Linked DNA regions of Struthio camelus. The main gene of each other region encodes a partner of the protein of the gene in region 2 in a complex. Links are inferred from orthologs where the notes say so. Each region holds a gene or a part of one and is shown on either strand. Other genes may lie near its edges. The genes, in order: NUMA1 and GPSM2.

Region 1 (7,615 bases), on a different chromosome or scaffold from region 2:
AATCGCTACCCGCTGGCCCTGCTCCTCCTGGCAGAGGTTTTGGGCGCCTGGAGGGCGGTCCGGGACCGCCTGTGCCTGCGTGCAGCGGCGCCAGCTGGCCACGCGCCCGCTGAGCTGGGAGGAGTTTCTGTGGGCCGGTGCGGGCAAGGGGGGGGGGGTTCGAAAGGAGTCCTGGTTTTTCGTCCGTCGCGTCCGGTGGAGCGGGAGATGCTCCGCTGGGCTGCACGCCTTGCGCCCTGTGCGCTCCGCTCTCGGCCCCTGAGCAGCACGGGCGGCAGGAGCCACCCGGGTCCCGTTGTGCGGGCCCGGGGAGGGGAGGGGAGGACCCGGGATGGCTGCGATAACGGGTGCAACGGGCGCCTGGCGGCCTGCGCGCTCCGGTTGCTCCCTTGCCCCCGAGGCGCCACGGTTCTCGTGCGCCTTCCCCAGCCGGTGGCGGCCGCCGCTGCTCTCCCCCCCCGTCCCCGAGCCGCCGCCGCTGCGTGCCCCAAAGCGCCTCGCGGACGATGCTGCAGGACGAGTCCGGTTCGCAGGCGTTGTTTCCTTAACCCCGGGCGGTGCCGCCGGGGTGAGGGGGGGCTTTATTTATGAGGAAGGGGAGGGAGCGGGAGGAGGGCCGGCGCGGGGTCCGGGGGCGAAGCCAGCCCCGGAAGGGCGCCCGAGGCCGAGCCGCTCCCCGCCAGCCTCCTGCTTCGCGGCCCTGCCAGCAGCAGCAGCAGCAGCCGCCCCGGTGGGTGCGCGGGGCTGGGGGGGGGGGGCTCCAGCTCGGGAGCTGCCCCCCGCCGCCGCCGCCTTCCCGGCCGCCTTGGGCTTGGCCTGCATGCGCTTCCAGGCGGCGGCGGTGGAGCGGTCCTGCTTGGTGACGCCGCTGAAGTCGAAGGACTTGAGCTGGGGCAGCACGGAGATGACGTAGCTCCTGCCGGGGCGCGGAGGCGGCGGTCGGGGGGGGGGGGACAGGCGCTGAGACCCCCCCCCCCCCCCAAAAAAGGGAGGTGGGGCAGGGGAGAGGCGGGGGGGGGCGAGCAGCATACCTGTAGCCCGGCTGCTCCTCGACGGGGTTGCCGTGCAGGGTGAGGCGGCGCAGGCGCGGCAGGGCGGCCAGCTTGTCCACCTCGGCCAGGCTGCGGATGCCGTTGGCGTGCAGGTGGAGGCTGCGCAGGTGGCGGTAGGCGGTCAGCACCTGCGGGCGCCCGCCGGGCCGTGAGCAGCCGCCCCGAGGCGCGGGGAGCCCCCCCTACCCCCCCCCCAAACCCCAGCGCCCTACCGGGTCGATGGTGGGCAGCGCGTTGAAGGAGAGGTCGAGCCAGGAGAGCCGCTCGGGGGCCTCGAGGAGCCGCTCGAGGGCGGGCGCCAGGCCGGCCAGGCTGCCCAGCGCGTTGTTGTTGAGGCGCAGGGCGCCGGCAAGCAGGCGGCCGCCGGCCGAGCGCCCCGCCGCCCGCCCCGCCGCCCCGGCCCGCGGCTCCTGCGCCAGCAGCTCTGGGCGCGCGGGGTGGGGGGGGGGGTGAGAGGTGCCCGCCGGGGGGCTCCCCCCCCCCCCCACCACCACCCCTTTTCTGCCCCCGGGGTCCCACCTGGGATGGAGGTGGCGCCGCGGAAGGAGAAGTCGAGGGGGGGCGCCAGGGCCGGGCACCGCGCCATGGGGCCGAGGCCGGCGGCGGAGGCGGCCCCCCTGCGCGGGGCGGCGCTTGTCGGGGTGCTGTCCCCCGCCCCGACCCCACGCCTGTCCTCCTGCCCCCGCGGATGTCCCCACCCGTGTCCCCAGCCCCCCCCCTCCACACACACACACCGCGGGCGTCCCCACGCATGTGTCTGGCTGCCACGGGCGTCCTCCTGGCCCCCACGGGCGTCCCCACGCGTGTCCTCCTGCCCCCACGCGTGTCCTCCTGCCCCCATGTGTCCCTACGCACACCCCCACGGGCGTCCCCACGCGTGTCCTCCTGCCCCCACGCGTGTCCTCCTGCCCCCATGTGTCCCTACGCACACCCCCACGGGCGTCCCCACGCGTGTCCTCCTGCCCCCATGTGTCCCTACGCACACCCCCACGGGCGTCCCCACGCGTGTCCTCCTGCCCCCACGCGTGTCCTCCTGCCCCCATGTGTCCCTACGCACACCCCCACGGGCGTCCCCACGCGTGTCCTCCTGCCCCCATGTGTTCCTACGCACACCCCCACGGGCGTCCCCACGCGTGTCCTCCTGCCCCCACGCGTGTCCTCCTGCCCCCATGTGTCCCTACGCACACCCCCACGGGCGTCCCCACGCGTGTCCTCCTGCCCCCACGCGTGTCCTCCTGCCCCCATGTGTCCCTACGCACACCCCCACGGGCGTCCCCATGCGTGTCCTCCTGCCCCCACGCGTGTCCTCCTGCCCCCATGTGTCCCTACGCACACCCCCACGGGCGTCCCCACGCGTGTCCTCCTGCCCCCATGTGTCCCTACGCACACCCCCACGGGCGTCCCCACGCGTGTCCTCCTGCCCCCATGTGTTCCTACGCACACCCCCACGGGCGTCCCCACGCGTGTCCTCCTGCCCCCACGCGTGTCCTCCTGCCCCCATGTGTTCCTACGCACACCCCCACGGGCGTCCCCACGCGTGTCCTCCTGCCCCCACGCGTGTCCTCCTGCCCCCATGTGTTCCTACGCACACCCCCACGGGCGTCCCCACGCGTGTCCTCCTGCCCCCACGTGTGTCCTCCTGCCCCCATGTGTCCCTACGCACACCCCCACGGGCGTCCCCACGCGTGTCCTCCTGCCCCCATGTGTCCCTACGCACACCCCCACGGGCGTCCCCACGCGTGTCCTCCTGCCCCCATGTGTCCCTACGCACACCCCCACGGGCGTCCCCACGCGTGTCCTCCTGCCCCCACGCGTGTCCTCCTGCCCCCATGTGTCCCTACGCACACCCCCACGGGCGTCCCCACGCGTGTCCTCCTGCCCCCATGTGTCCCTACGCACACCCCCACGGGCGTCCCCACGCGTGTCCTCCTGCCCCCACGCGTGTCCTCCTGCCCCCATGTGTCCCTACGCACACCCCCACGGGCGTCCCCACGCGTGTCCTCCTGCCCCCACGCGTGTCCTCCTGCCCCCATGTGTCCCTACGCACACCCACACGGGCATCCCCACGCGTGTCCTCCTGCCCCCACGTGTCCCCACGTGTCCCCGGCCCCCATGCACACCCCCTCGGGCGTCCCCACGCGTGTCCTCCTGCCCTCATGTGTCCCCACACGTGTCCCTGGCCCTCGCGCACACCCCCATGGGCATCCTCACCCCTCACGGGTGTCCCCACACATGTCCTCCTGCCCCCATATGTCCCCATATGTCCCCAGCCCCTGTGCACATCCCCACAGCAGTGCTCCTGCCCCCCACGGGCATCCCCTCACACGTCTTCCTGCCCCCATGTGTCCCCATAGGTGTCTCTGGCCCCCGCACAAACCCCCACATGTGTCCTCCTGCCCCAGTGTGTCCCCACATGTGTCCCCAGCCCCCGTGCACACCCTCATGGGTGTCCCCACCCCCCACGGGTGTCCCCACGCGTGTCCCCCTGCCCCCATGTGTCCTCACACGTGTCACCAGCCCCCGTGCACATCTCCACAGCTGTGCTCCTGCCCCCCACGGGTATCTCCACATGTGTCCTCCTGCCCCAGTGTGTCCCCACATGTGTCCCCAGCCCCCGCGCACACCCTCATGGGTGTCCCCACACCCCACGCGTGTCCCCACACGTGTCCCCCTGCCCCCATGTGTCCTCACACGTGTCCCTGGCCCCCCACGGGCATCCTCAAGGCCATGCACCAACCCCCCACGGGGCATCCCCACACATGTCCTCCTGCCCCCATATGTCCTCACATGCATCCCCATGGGCATCCGCCTGTCCCCACGGGAGTGCCCACGCGTGTCCTCCTGCCCCACACGCACGTGCCCGTGGGTATCGTCCTGCTCCCACACGCAGCCCCACGGCGAGTCCCCCAGCCGCCGCCCATGTCCTCCTGCCCCCACAGGCATCCCCATGCCTGTCCCTCTGCTCCCACCCGCACCCACTCGCGTCCCCCTGCCCCGGCCCACCTCCCCACACGTCCCCATGCCTGCCTCCCCACATCCTCCTGCGCCAGACACCCCCCCCACGTCCCCATATGTGTTCTCGTCCCCACACAGCCCCACTCGAGCCCCATTCTCCGCGCGTGGGGCCACTCGCATGTCTCCCGTCACCAGTGCCCTGGCTCCCACGCGTATCCCTTACCCACACAGGATCCTAGGTGCGTCCTTCCCCGCGTGGGGCATCAGACATCTCCCCCCTCCTCCTGTACAACGCCCCACACCCCGCTCCTCCCCACAGGGCCCCACGCGTGTCCCCTAACCGCCCGCGCGGCCCCACGGGCGCCCCGCTCACCACCCCCCGCGCGCCGCCGTCGCCACGGCAACCAGCCCCTCGCCCCGCCCCGCCCCGCGCGGGGCACGCCGGGACGAGCGCTCGCCCCGCTGGGATTGGTAGTTCCCCGCCCTCCGCCGCCTCGCAACCTCACGTGACGTAAGGCCACGCTGACGTATCCTGGTCGGCAGCCAATAGGCAGGGGGCAGGGGGCCGGCGCAGCCATTTGAATCGGGCAGGAGGCCGCGTCGGCTGCTTTGCGCCGCGGGGCGGGGGGTTCCGGCGGGGGCCCCGCGGCTACAGTGAATACGGTAGGGCCTGAGGGGGGGGCCTAGGGCCTGGGGGGGGAAGGGGGACCTGGAGGGGGGGAGCAGAGGGACAGCGAGGTGGGGGGGGGAAGGGGGACGTGGAGGGGGGGGAGCAGAGGGACAGCGAGGTGGGGGGGGGAAGGGGGACGTGGAGGGGGGGGAGCAGAGGGACAGCGAGGTGGGGGGGGGAAGGGGGACCTGGGGGGGGGGGAGCAGAGGGACAGCGAGGTGGGGGGGGAAGGGGGACCTGGGGGGGGGGGAGCAGAGGGACAGCGAGGTGGGGGGGGAAGGGGGACCTGGGGGGGGGGGAGCAGAGGGACAGCGAGGTGGGGGGGGAAGGGGGACCTGGGGGGGGGGAGCAGAGGGACAGCGAGGTGGGGGGGGAAGGGGGACCGGGGGGGGGGGAGCAGAGGGACAGCGAGGTGGGGGGGGGAATGGGGACCGGGGGGGGGGGAGCAGAGGGACAGCGAGGTGGGGGGGGAAGGGGGATGTGGAGGGGGGGGGAGCAGAGGGACAGCGAGGTGGGGGGGGAAGGGGGACGTGGAGGGGGGGGAGCAGAGGGACAGCGAGGTGGGGGGGGGAAGGGGGACCTGGAGGGGGGGGAGCAGAGGGACAGCGAGGTGGGGGGGGGAAGGGGGGGACCTGGAGGGGGGGGAGCAGAGGGACAGCGAGGTGGGGGGGGGAAGGGGGACCTGGAGGGGGGGGGAGCAGAGGGACAGCGAGGTGGGGGGGGGAAGGGGGGGACCTGGAGGGGGGGGAGCAGAGGGACAGTGAGGTGGGGGGGGGAAGGGGGACCTGGAGGGGGGGAGCAGAGGGACAGTGAGGTGGGGGGGGGAGGGGGACCTGGGGGGGGGAGCAGAGGGACAGCGAGGTGGGGGGGGAAGGGGGACTTGGAGGGGGGGGAGCAGAGGGATAGCGAGGTGGGGGGGGGAACGGGGACCTGGAGGGGGGGGAGCAGAGGGACAGCGAGGTGGGGGGGGGTATGGGGCCGCTGTGGGGAGCAGGGAACCTGGGAGGGACACAGTGACCTGGGGTGGGGGGACAGGATGCTTTAGGGGGGTGGTGACCCTTTGGGGACGACTGTGTGGGACCGTGACGCTGCAGGACACGGAGGTGGCCGGAGGGACCGTGATCTGGCGCCTCTCCCCCTCCCACGGCCGGGCAGGGGGACCAGACCTGCGCCAGACCTGCGAGCGCCTTGCGCTTCTCCCTCGGCGTAGGTGGGATTGCGAGGCAGGTATGTGCAAGATCCTTGTCTTTGCCGGGGATTTTCCAGGAAGCTTTGAGTGGGTTAGTCTGGAGACGGATCCAAAACCTTTGCTGCTTTTGAGATGAAGCTTGATAAAGTCGGCAGCAGGATTATGCTGTGGGTTCTTGCAGCAGGAGAGGACCAGGCTCCGTAATCATCATGTCTTCCCCCTTGTGTGCCAGCAAGGCTTTTGACACTGTCTCCCATCACATCCTCGTAGGTAAGCTCAGGAAGTGTGGGTTGGATGAGTGGACAGTGAGGTGGATAAGAAATTAGCTGGATGGCCGAGCTCAGAGGGTTGTGGTCAGTGTTGCGGAGTCTAGTTGGAGGCCTGTAGCCCAGTGGTGTCCCCCAGGGGTCAGTCCTGGGTCCAGTCTTGTTCAACATACTCATCAGTGACCTGGAGGAAGGGACAGAGTGCACCCTCTGCATAAGTTTGCTGATGATCCCAAAGTGGGAGGAGAGGCTAACACACCAGAAGACTGTGCTGCCATTCAGAGGGACGTGGACAGGCTGGAGAGCTGGGCGGAGAGGAACCTCCTCAAAGTTCAGCGGAGGCAAGAGCAGGGTCCTGTCCCTGGGGAGGAATAACCCCAGGCAGCAGGACAGGCTGGGGGCTGATCTGCTGGAAAGCAGCTCTGCCGAGAAGGGCCTGGGAGTCCTGGTGGACAACAAGGTGACCATGAGGCAGCAATGCGCCCTTGTGGCCAAGAAGACCAGTGGGATCCTGGGGTGCATTAGGCAGAGTGTTGCCCGCAGGTGGAGGGAGGTGATCCTGCCCCTCTCCTCAGCCCTGGGGAGGCCTCACCTGGAGTACTGGGTCCAGTTCTGGGCTCCCCAGTACAAGAGAGACATGGAGCTCCTGGAGAGAGTCCAGCGGAGGGCTACACAGATGATGAAGGGCCTGGAGCATCTCTGCTCTGAGGAAAGGCTGAGGGATCTGGGCCTGTTCAGCCTGGAGAAGAGAAGATTGAGAGGCGATCTCATAAATGTGTAGAAGTATGTGAAGGGAGGGTGTTGAGAGGATGGGGCCAGCCTCTTCTCCGTGGTGCCCAGTGACAGGGCAAGAAGCAACGGGCATAAACTGAAACACAGGAAGGTCCATCTGAACATGAAGCAAAACCTCTTCACTGTGAGGGTGACAGAGCACTGGAACAGGTTGCCCAGAGAGGTAGTGGAGTCTCCTTCGCTGGAGATATGCAAAACCCGCCCGGATGCGATGCTGGACAACGTGCTATAGGTGACCCTGGTGGAGCAGGGGGCTTGGACTAGATGATCTCCAGATATCCCTTCCAACCTCAACTGTTCTGTGATTCTGTGGTAGTTCACTGGCAAGCAGATGTCCACCACGTTTCTGGTTCTTTAGCTTTTTCAGGTTCTTTGCTATCTGCGCCAAAGTAGCACGCTTTACACAGGAAATTCCTTGGACTAGTTGCTAAGGCGGTGGTGGCATTAACACATTGGTGGTGTGGCTGCTGAACGAAGCAGTTCTGCTGTCCTCCTTGTGCCTGCAGGAGGACTTCTGAAGCTGCAGAGTAAACCGGATTGGGGAACTGGTTGAGCTGAGGCCTTTTTTGCTAGATCAGTTCGAAAAATAACTAGCCCTGTGTCTGGGTGGGGTTTGCTGAGCAGTCACATAAACGCTTGGTGGCAGGAGTCTGCCTTCAGTGGAGGAGCAAGGGCTTGCGTGTGCAGATTT
Region 2 (8,102 bases):
ACTCTTGGTCGCAAGACTGTACCTGTCTTCAGACAAGCCAGGGATTGCTAAGTATGGTACAGGCTCCAAAGTTTTGCATGCGAAGAACAAAATTCCTAACAGCACACTACCAGGACGATGGGAGAGAAAACGTAAGTAAGCAGAAACAGAAAAGAAATTGCGAAGATTTTAAGAGCCTTTGTGGTAGACCATAAGCATTTTCCCTGTAATTCAGCTGCATACAAGTTTTTCCTCCGTATTGGTAGAAGGTTTATATAACGCACAAGTTTTATTATATGAACAAGAGCCACGTTCTCCAAACACTACCAGATTTGAGTCCTAGGAGGCAACTTGACATTAATTATCTGTTGGGATTATTTTACAGGTACTACATGTGTTTCAGACCATCTCTTACCAATTTTTACATTCCTGTTTTTCTGTACATTACATTCCTAATTTTGTAGGTCTACCATAACTTTGTAGGTCCACCATACTCTTTTCTTTTTTGGGGGCGTGGGGGGGATGCATTTTTATAACTGCTATTAAATGCCTAAAGAAAAGTCAACGGGTTTTTTTCTTCACCTGATCTCTCTCTGTTCTTTCATTCACACAAACAGCGATAGCCATAAGATGTTAATCTTTCCGGAAGTCATGTGATCAATACTGACTCCTTAAATGAAAATAAATTCATTAAGATGTTAACACCAAAGACAACTAAAAACAAGACTATAGTTATCAGATCTGGGCATGAGTAACTATTGAGGAAAGTAAAATAGACTGTGTAACTCTTACAAAAAAACTAGGAGAAACTAAAAACACTTGTTTTAATAAAACACAAGAATCCCAATAAACTATGTAAAACACGAAAAACTCCTCCATACGTTCAATAATTAAACCTACTGATGGTAGCATTAGTTTTTAGAAAAACACCTGTTTCTTAATATACCTTTTCCTAACTACCGATGAGCAGAGATGCTCTCCAAATCATAGTGCACAGGGGGATCTGAGGAATATCAGTTTAGAAAAATGGGTCTGTTGCCGTCAGTTAACGAGAAAAGGCCCAGAACTGACACTTGAAACAATTCTAGCAAAATAACAAGAAATTACCACCCTGACAAGGTATAAGAAGTGAGACTCATTTTTAGAATTTTACCGTTCTCCTCTACAATAAGCCAAAATAAACAGGTTTTCCAATTTTTGGCAACGCTTTTACTCAGCATTCTTAGGAGGAGAGGCTGGCCTGCCCTGCTAATTACCAAAAAGAAAGTCTAAAAGAGGAAAGAACTGTCGTCTCTAAATGCCTCAACTAAAAAAAAAAAAAATTGTATTAAAAGATGAAAGAGGACCATCTAGGCCAAGAGACAATGACAGCACAGGAACAAAGATGGCCATGAATACCTTTTCAAAAATTAGTCTGACCTTCTAACCAACAAATTGTGAAGTAAATCTCCAGCAGCAGAAGCATACAGTCCTAAATAGTTTTAAGATGCCTGAAAGAGTTACAAGGGCAAATAAACTGTGAAAGCAATAGACTTGACTTACATAGGTCTCTTCTAGTCTTATGAAGCTGACTTCAGTGTCAAATATTTTCTGTGCAAGCTTTATATAAAGTCCTTCCAGTTTGGGTAACCATCGACAGAACTGGTATGAAGGAGCAATGGCACATGCACGCAGAAGTTTAAACACACAAGTAAGATCCACAAGCAAAGAATTTACGAGGACTGCATTGTGAAGATAACATTTTTGCTGATGTTTTCAGCTCTAATAAAATTATGACTTATAACGAAAGAAAAGTATGAAGTTTTCATGCTAAGTTCAAGCAGAGCATGCACTCGCTCAACTGGTCTTTTTGCGATGCAAGGATCAGCACGTCCTTCTAAATTCTGAGTTGGTCGCACAGCTCTCCATGGCAACCCAGGATGCATGCACTATGCAGCCTGCTGGCGAGAATCTAACAGGAACAGCACATTAGGCTTAGAGAGGCTTTAAAGGGGGAGGGCAGCAAGTTCGAGGTGGGGAATAATTTGTGTCTTCGCTATTAGGTCAATAAAGGGATAAATAAGAACTTCTGATTAGCTATACGCTCTCCTCTTTAAAAACTTTTAAAAAGCAAAAGAGGAGGGGGAAAGGAACCAGCACAGACTAGCAAAAAACGGTAGTTCCCTAGGTCAAGCAAGACAAGGCAAGACACACTGGGTACAATTTGGGTTTAGATATGCCATAACAGAATATCCAATTAAAATTCTTAGGGTTTAGAATTGTTCCCCATACACTTTGTTCTTCATAGTATGTTTGTAGGCCCCCATTTTCTGCCACACTAATACCCCATTTCATATCTCCCGCTAAATTTTTATCTATTTATTATCCTTACTTATCTTCCTAAACACAACACAGCACAACGATCAGAAATATCTGATACAATATCTTTTTGCTACCAACTCGCTTTGGAGAAACAAGAACAATCTCTGGATTATTTACAATCAACAAAGGCTGGTCTGATAGCTGTATGCTGTTTCTGTTCGCAGAAAAGTGAGGTCGCTATACTGGAGCTCCCATTTCATCATTCTGGATTTTAAAAGGCTGCAGTAACCTTCGAGGTTTAGCAACTGTACAAGACACCCAAAAGAAGGATCACTTAAAGTCAAAGACGCCGGACTTCAGGTTCCGACCGGCAGCTTTTCAAGCCTGGTTATACGGCGAGTTCATCCACCAACAACTCAGGCCGCTCAGCAGCTGCTCCGCGGGGAAGGCCGCCGCAGTGCGGGCGACCAGAGGCGCTCGCCCCGCCGCCGGGGCCGCGCTCGCCAGCTGCCTCACCGCCGCCAGCAGGTGCGGGGCGGTGCGGGCCGGCCCCCCCGCGGCCCCCTACCGCGATCCAACGGCCCCCGCTGCGCCCGCGACGCGGCCCCACCCCAACCGCCGCCTGCCTCGCCACCGCGGCCGCGCCTCACCTCGGGGCCGGGGGTCCGCCCGCCCCCGGTGCCGGAGCAGTTTCCAGAGCGACCGCCACAGCTGGGGCAGCGCGGGGCGGGGCAGGCCGGGCCGGGCCGGGCCGGGCCGCGGCGCTGCCAACGGCGGCGCCCGCCCACGCGCAGCCGCGCTTCGAACCCACCAATCCACGGGCGGCAGCGGCCAACGGCTCTCCCACGCGGGCCGCAGCGGCCTGCGCGCGCCCCCGCCCCGCCCCCCCGGAAACCCGCATCGTTCACACGAGCCAATAGGGAGAGGGCGGGGGCGGCGGTTGGGGCCCTGCCCCGGGGGCGGGGCCCGCCAGGTGGGCGGAGCGAGGGCGCTCGGGTTACCCGGCGGGTAAGGGGACACCGCCAGCGGCCGCCCCGCCCCGCCCCGCCCCGCCCGGCTCGGCCGCGTATTTCCAAGCTGGCAGGGTCGGCGGAGGGGAGCTGCCGGGTTGGGGGCCGCTTGGGGAGAGGCGGCGGAGCGGCAGGGAGCACGAGCAAGGTAACGCGGCCCTGCGCTGCCCCTGCCCGGGAAGCAGCCGCCTTAGGAGGGGCCGAGGGCGCGTCAGGGGAAACAGAGCGTGCTGCCGGGCTAAAACGACGGGGGATTAGCATCATACTAAAATAACGCACAGCATTTTAGCTGATGAGAGGGGCGGGGGTAGGAATCAAGGCGGACAAGAAGAGAGAGGTGCTTTTTCCCCTGGGGGGCGGAGGCCAAGGAAACCTTTCATACCGTGAAGCGAGACGCGAGAGGCTATGGTTAATGACACGCCACTTTCTCCCCCCGCCCCCCCGAAGTTGTACTGCAGGTTTTCTATGCTGCTCTTGCCGCCGTTACCAAGTTTTCGGTCTCTAAGAGTACGGGGGGATTAGTGAGCAAGGACAAATTACCTGGCAGTAAAAGCCTGATTTTCCTTTCCCTGATGCTTCTGTTGTTTTATGTCACTCTTGTTTCCTCCCTGGCTAATCCCGATTTCCACCAGTGTAAACGTGAAAAGAAAACATCCATGTCAGGAGGGCGGCTCTGTAAATTTGAGTAGCAAAAAAACTGCGGTAGGTCCAAGATATAAATAAGTAGATCCTATTCTCAACTGTATTTAAATTTAAAATAACTATTACTCAATACCTTACAGATTTTGATCCAGGCAAAAAAAGCTCTCCCTCAAAACTGAGAAGCAATGACATTCATGCACTAAGTAATCAGGATATGGAGACTATGAAAGAGGGCAAACCATCAGACTGGATGAAAAAACAAATGATTAGTTCATTTTTAGAAGAGTTAAACTGTATCGCAGACACGACTGATGAGGAAAATGAAGACTTACCTTATGACGGAGATCTAGGAAAAACCTGTCACTACAGTAATTATTCAGATAATTTGAGTGACTGTACTTGTTTAAAACATATTTCTGATATTTTTTCAAACATATCCTGTTCTGAAGATAACAAAAATATAAAAGCAGCAGCAAATTATGAAACTCATCCACAACCTGGAGAAGTTTTCAATTACCATACATGTGCCACAGAAACAACTGGAATTTCAGTTGAAATGCCTGTCAGTGAAGCTTCTTTTAAGAAAGAATTACCTGTTTGCTTTAGTAGACCAGATAGGAAGCAACACCTCACTCACTCAAAAATGTCTGATGTCCTTTTGCGTCATTTTCCTAAGGGAGAGTTAATAACCACATGCCAGCTAATTGAAGGCGAGACTATACCAGAGATATCCTTTACTGAAAGTATTGATGAACCTCTGAATAAACCTGAGACTTCAGAACTTGCCAAGTGCCCTTTATCTCATGAACAACGGGCAACTAACTTTGAAGGGTATCACTTAAATAAGCATGAGGAAATAAACACTGGTGAGAGAGATCAAACTTTGCTAAATGAAAATAAGTTTGTTTCAAAGAGATCTATTTCTGCTACTATTGAGTGTGGGTGTGTACAAGAAAGTTCACCATTAATTAGTGAGAATGAAGATACACACACCTTTCAAAACACTAAAAAAGAACAACAAAAAGATCCATTTAAGAGAACAGGTTCATCTCACGAGCTCAAATTTGGCCAAGGTCAAGTTCATTATTGCCTTACTGATTTCTCTAAAGTTGCTTCAGAAGTTAAAGTACCAAAAAGAAATGACAACAATAAATCAGCTCCTGTCACTGATAGGACAAAAACCTTTCCTATTTTGCCAAGTAAATCAGTAATTGCAAATGACATTGTAGAAAACAGGAACTACTTTGATTCTGTTGAAGTAGAGAATCAAGAAGAAATGAGTGTTCCAGAACTGTTGCAACAGCTGGAGGTAAATAAGGTCATTTAAGAAACTTGTAGTATCTGTAGAGTGATGTTAGCACAAGAAAGTATTCTCTGCCCAACAAAATCTAACAGAACTAGTTCACGCAGGAAAACCATAGGCAGCAGTGAGCACGTCAATTCAGTTAGAAATTGCTTTCATGAGTAAAGTTTTGTAGGACAGGATTTCTATGCAACTTCCATTAACAAATATTTAACAATGTTCTGCAGTATTATTTGTTATTACAAAGCATCCCATCAAATTATTACAAAATTCACTACAAACTATTTCATTTTTCATTGATACACTCATTTCTAGTATTATAAGCAAACATTCAAATCCACCAAAAGTACTTTTTCCTTAAAAAAAAAAATACATATATACACACACACACACAGAGTGCCTATATATATGTTAAAGACTCCCCCCCCCCCCCCCCCCATCTTAACACTTTTCAACTCCTTATGCTGGTATTTGATTGGCCAATTCCAAATCTTTCTGAAGGATTTGTTTTACTGTTTTAAAATGTCTTTATTATGGTAGCAATTAGATCATCATTTTTCAATTTCATGCCCTGCCATGGAGTTCATTCACAGAGCTGTTACAGATGTGTAACTCCTTTCCTAGATTTGTATCTTAGTAAAATTATTTGAGATGTAACAATGTTTAACAGTTTTCTCTGTTATTTCCTGGCTGTACACAAGATGCTGACACAGCATGCTGATGCCCAGAATCATACCGATTATTTGAGACTTAATCCTAAGGTAAATCTCTCAAAACAGCAGTCTTCCTAAATTCGTTCTCTTTTATCTCTAAGATTATGAATATTTACCCAAACTATTTTGCTATCTTCACCTTGTTCCTCCCATTTACGCAAATCCTCTAATTTCCACAAAATATCTATACAACGAGACACTGAACATTTGTCAAATTATAAATATAAATACAGCAAACTATAGGAGGTAGTTACAAGAAACATATTTCATTTTACTGATAACTTGTCCTGTGCGTTTTGAGCTGTTCATAAGTTCTTCTAGTTAGCATCCACAACGTGTTTCTAAACAGCGTTTCTATAAACAAAGTTTTCATATTTTAACAGATGCTTCCTCAGTCAGATTTTCCAAATCCAAGTTTTGCCATTTACTCAGGAGGCGCTGAGACATCCTCTGAAGTTTTTGCATTACACCCTCCTTTTCCTATACAACCTATGCTTGCTTTGTCTGAAGCAGGTAAATAAAAGTTATAGTGACTATGCAAATGATGATTTTTTTCATGTAATTTGACATAACTTTTATTATATTTTATGTAAAACAGTTTGGGCAGAAACCGTTCCAACTCATTCATCTTCTTCTCTTGTGTTTTGCAGGATTACAGTGTGGGGCAACAGTATCAACATTACCATCAGCTGGTACAGTAGAAGCACACTGCCTAAATCCTTCCAGTTTACTTCTAGAACTAACACAAGGAGAAAAGATGACTCAAATACTAAAGGAACAAACAGATCAACTGCAAATGGAAGTAATGAACAGTGATGCTTTAATATATACTTAGCACTGATGCTCAAATTTAATATTCATTTGGCATATTCACTTTAAAAATCCCAAATAAAAATCTCAAATTTTCTCTTCAAGGTAGAGGACTTCTCTAAACATATGACCCAAGAGACATTCCTTTTACAAGACAAATACCTGGTAAATCCATTTATACGTTCTCAGTCATCTGAAATGAGCTTTAAATGGCTATAGTCTTAGGAATCTATGGCAAGATACTCACCCCCCCCTCCCCCCAATCTCAGATGGAAATTATGAGCATCAAAGCAGAAATGAAGGTGTTCAGTAGGGGGCTGAATTCTTAAATCTGCTTTAAGGATTACAACTCAAAACTGTTTGTGAAAGGCCTTAAATGGCCATAAAAATTATGAATTTTGACATGTAGGATGTCAGTCCAGAAGTGACGGTTTCACATTTTAGTTGTGCATAAAATAGCAGCACAGGTTACTTAGCGGACGTACACGATGCAGTCCTGTTCCAATTCGGATCAATAGCGAAATTCTTAACATCACTGCAAATACAATCTGGCTTACATAGCATAAGTAGCTATCAGTATAGCTTGCTACATCATAATTTCATTTACTGTTGAGTTATTTCTTATTGGTGAAGGTGTTAAGTCAGTTGAAAAGACGCCTTGATGCCCTGGAACAGAATTATTTAACTGCTAGAGAAGAGCACCGTAATTTACAGCTGCAGAACTACAAGGACAAGTCCATCAACATTGGAAAGTTTGATCCTGAAAGGTTAGAAAATAAGTACTAAGTAGTACTTCAACATATTCTCAATATTTTCCGAGTATCTTGCAACCGTTAAGTCAGTTGTCCTTACAACACTTTTCAGAAACGAAAACATTATCTTATGTTATATATGGTAAGCCAGAAGTGATTTAGCCAAAACTGATCACAGGCTTTGTGTGTCCTACTTATAACTGCAATATTTAACCAATTAATTCAAGTATTTAAGTGAACTCAGTGAAATCTATGAATTTATCTATCTTATGGATTCTTTATTGCAATACCCAATATCGTTTCCCCAATAAGAAATAAAACACCATTTTACAAAGGTTTCACTAACTTTGCAATTGTGTTTAGAAAGGTGGAAGGGGAAATATTTAGACTTGGCACGCTGCTTGAAGACATCCACGAGCAGGATGATAACAGCAAATGCAGCTTGTCTCCTTTGCTTACTCCTTATGAATCTGCCCATTCATCCTATTCTCTTGGTGAGGTAACTTAGCAAGTTTTGTCATTTAAAGCCTGCGTTAGTCTCTGTGTTTTAGGGATGCAAATCTCATTAACCTCAGTGTGGTTGTAGTCACCT

Evidence for each region.
Region 1: the proteins of GPSM2 (region 2) and NUMA1 are in contact, whole or in part, in a crystal structure (PDB 6HC2), measured with the Homo sapiens proteins. The link is inferred for Struthio camelus from reciprocal best matches to the Homo sapiens genes GPSM2 and NUMA1. Residues at the interface, in NP_001307967.1 of Homo sapiens: Ala28, Leu29, Glu32, Cys35, Lys36, Phe47, Lys59, Thr60, Ser62, Ala63, Ile64, Ser66, Gln67, Asn70, Ala71, Phe73, Asn110, Lys113, Tyr146, His153, Lys157, Pro164, Gln165, Arg203, Gly206, Asn207, Asn210, Tyr213, Leu214, Arg228; in NP_006176.2 of Homo sapiens: Ser1901, Phe1902, Tyr1903, Met1904, Gly1905, Thr1906, Cys1907, Gln1908, Asp1909, Glu1910, Pro1911, Glu1912, Leu1914, Asp1916, Trp1917, Asn1918, Arg1919, Ile1920, Ala1921, Leu1923.

What each region holds. Positions count from the first base shown.
Region 1 is NC_090942.1:224,085,626-224,093,240, forward strand, and holds the start of NUMA1 (nuclear mitotic apparatus protein 1), read left to right. Parts: upstream 1-4,585; 5' UTR 4,586-4,670; intron 4,671-5,770; exon of another isoform or gene 5,771-5,904; intron 5,905-7,615. Other genes in the region: LRRC51 (leucine-rich repeat-containing protein 51), read right to left, coding at 586-916, 1,032-1,180, 1,265-1,476, 1,572-1,669, 4,231-4,271. UniProt on the Homo sapiens protein: Microtubule (MT)-binding protein that plays a role in the formation and maintenance of the spindle poles and the alignement and the segregation of chromosomes during mitotic cell division.
Region 2 is NC_090949.1:13,299,566-13,307,667, forward strand, and holds the start of GPSM2 (G-protein-signaling modulator 2), read right to left. Parts: upstream 3,169-8,102; 5' UTR 2,931-3,168; intron 1,836-2,930; exon of another isoform or gene 1,522-1,835; intron 1-1,521. Other genes in the region: protein AKNAD1, read left to right, coding at 4,147-5,241, 5,937-5,996, 6,332-6,461, 6,599-6,750, 6,864-6,923, 7,392-7,525, 7,874-8,009. UniProt on the Homo sapiens protein: Plays an important role in mitotic spindle pole organization via its interaction with NUMA1. Required for cortical dynein-dynactin complex recruitment during metaphase. Plays a role in metaphase spindle orientation.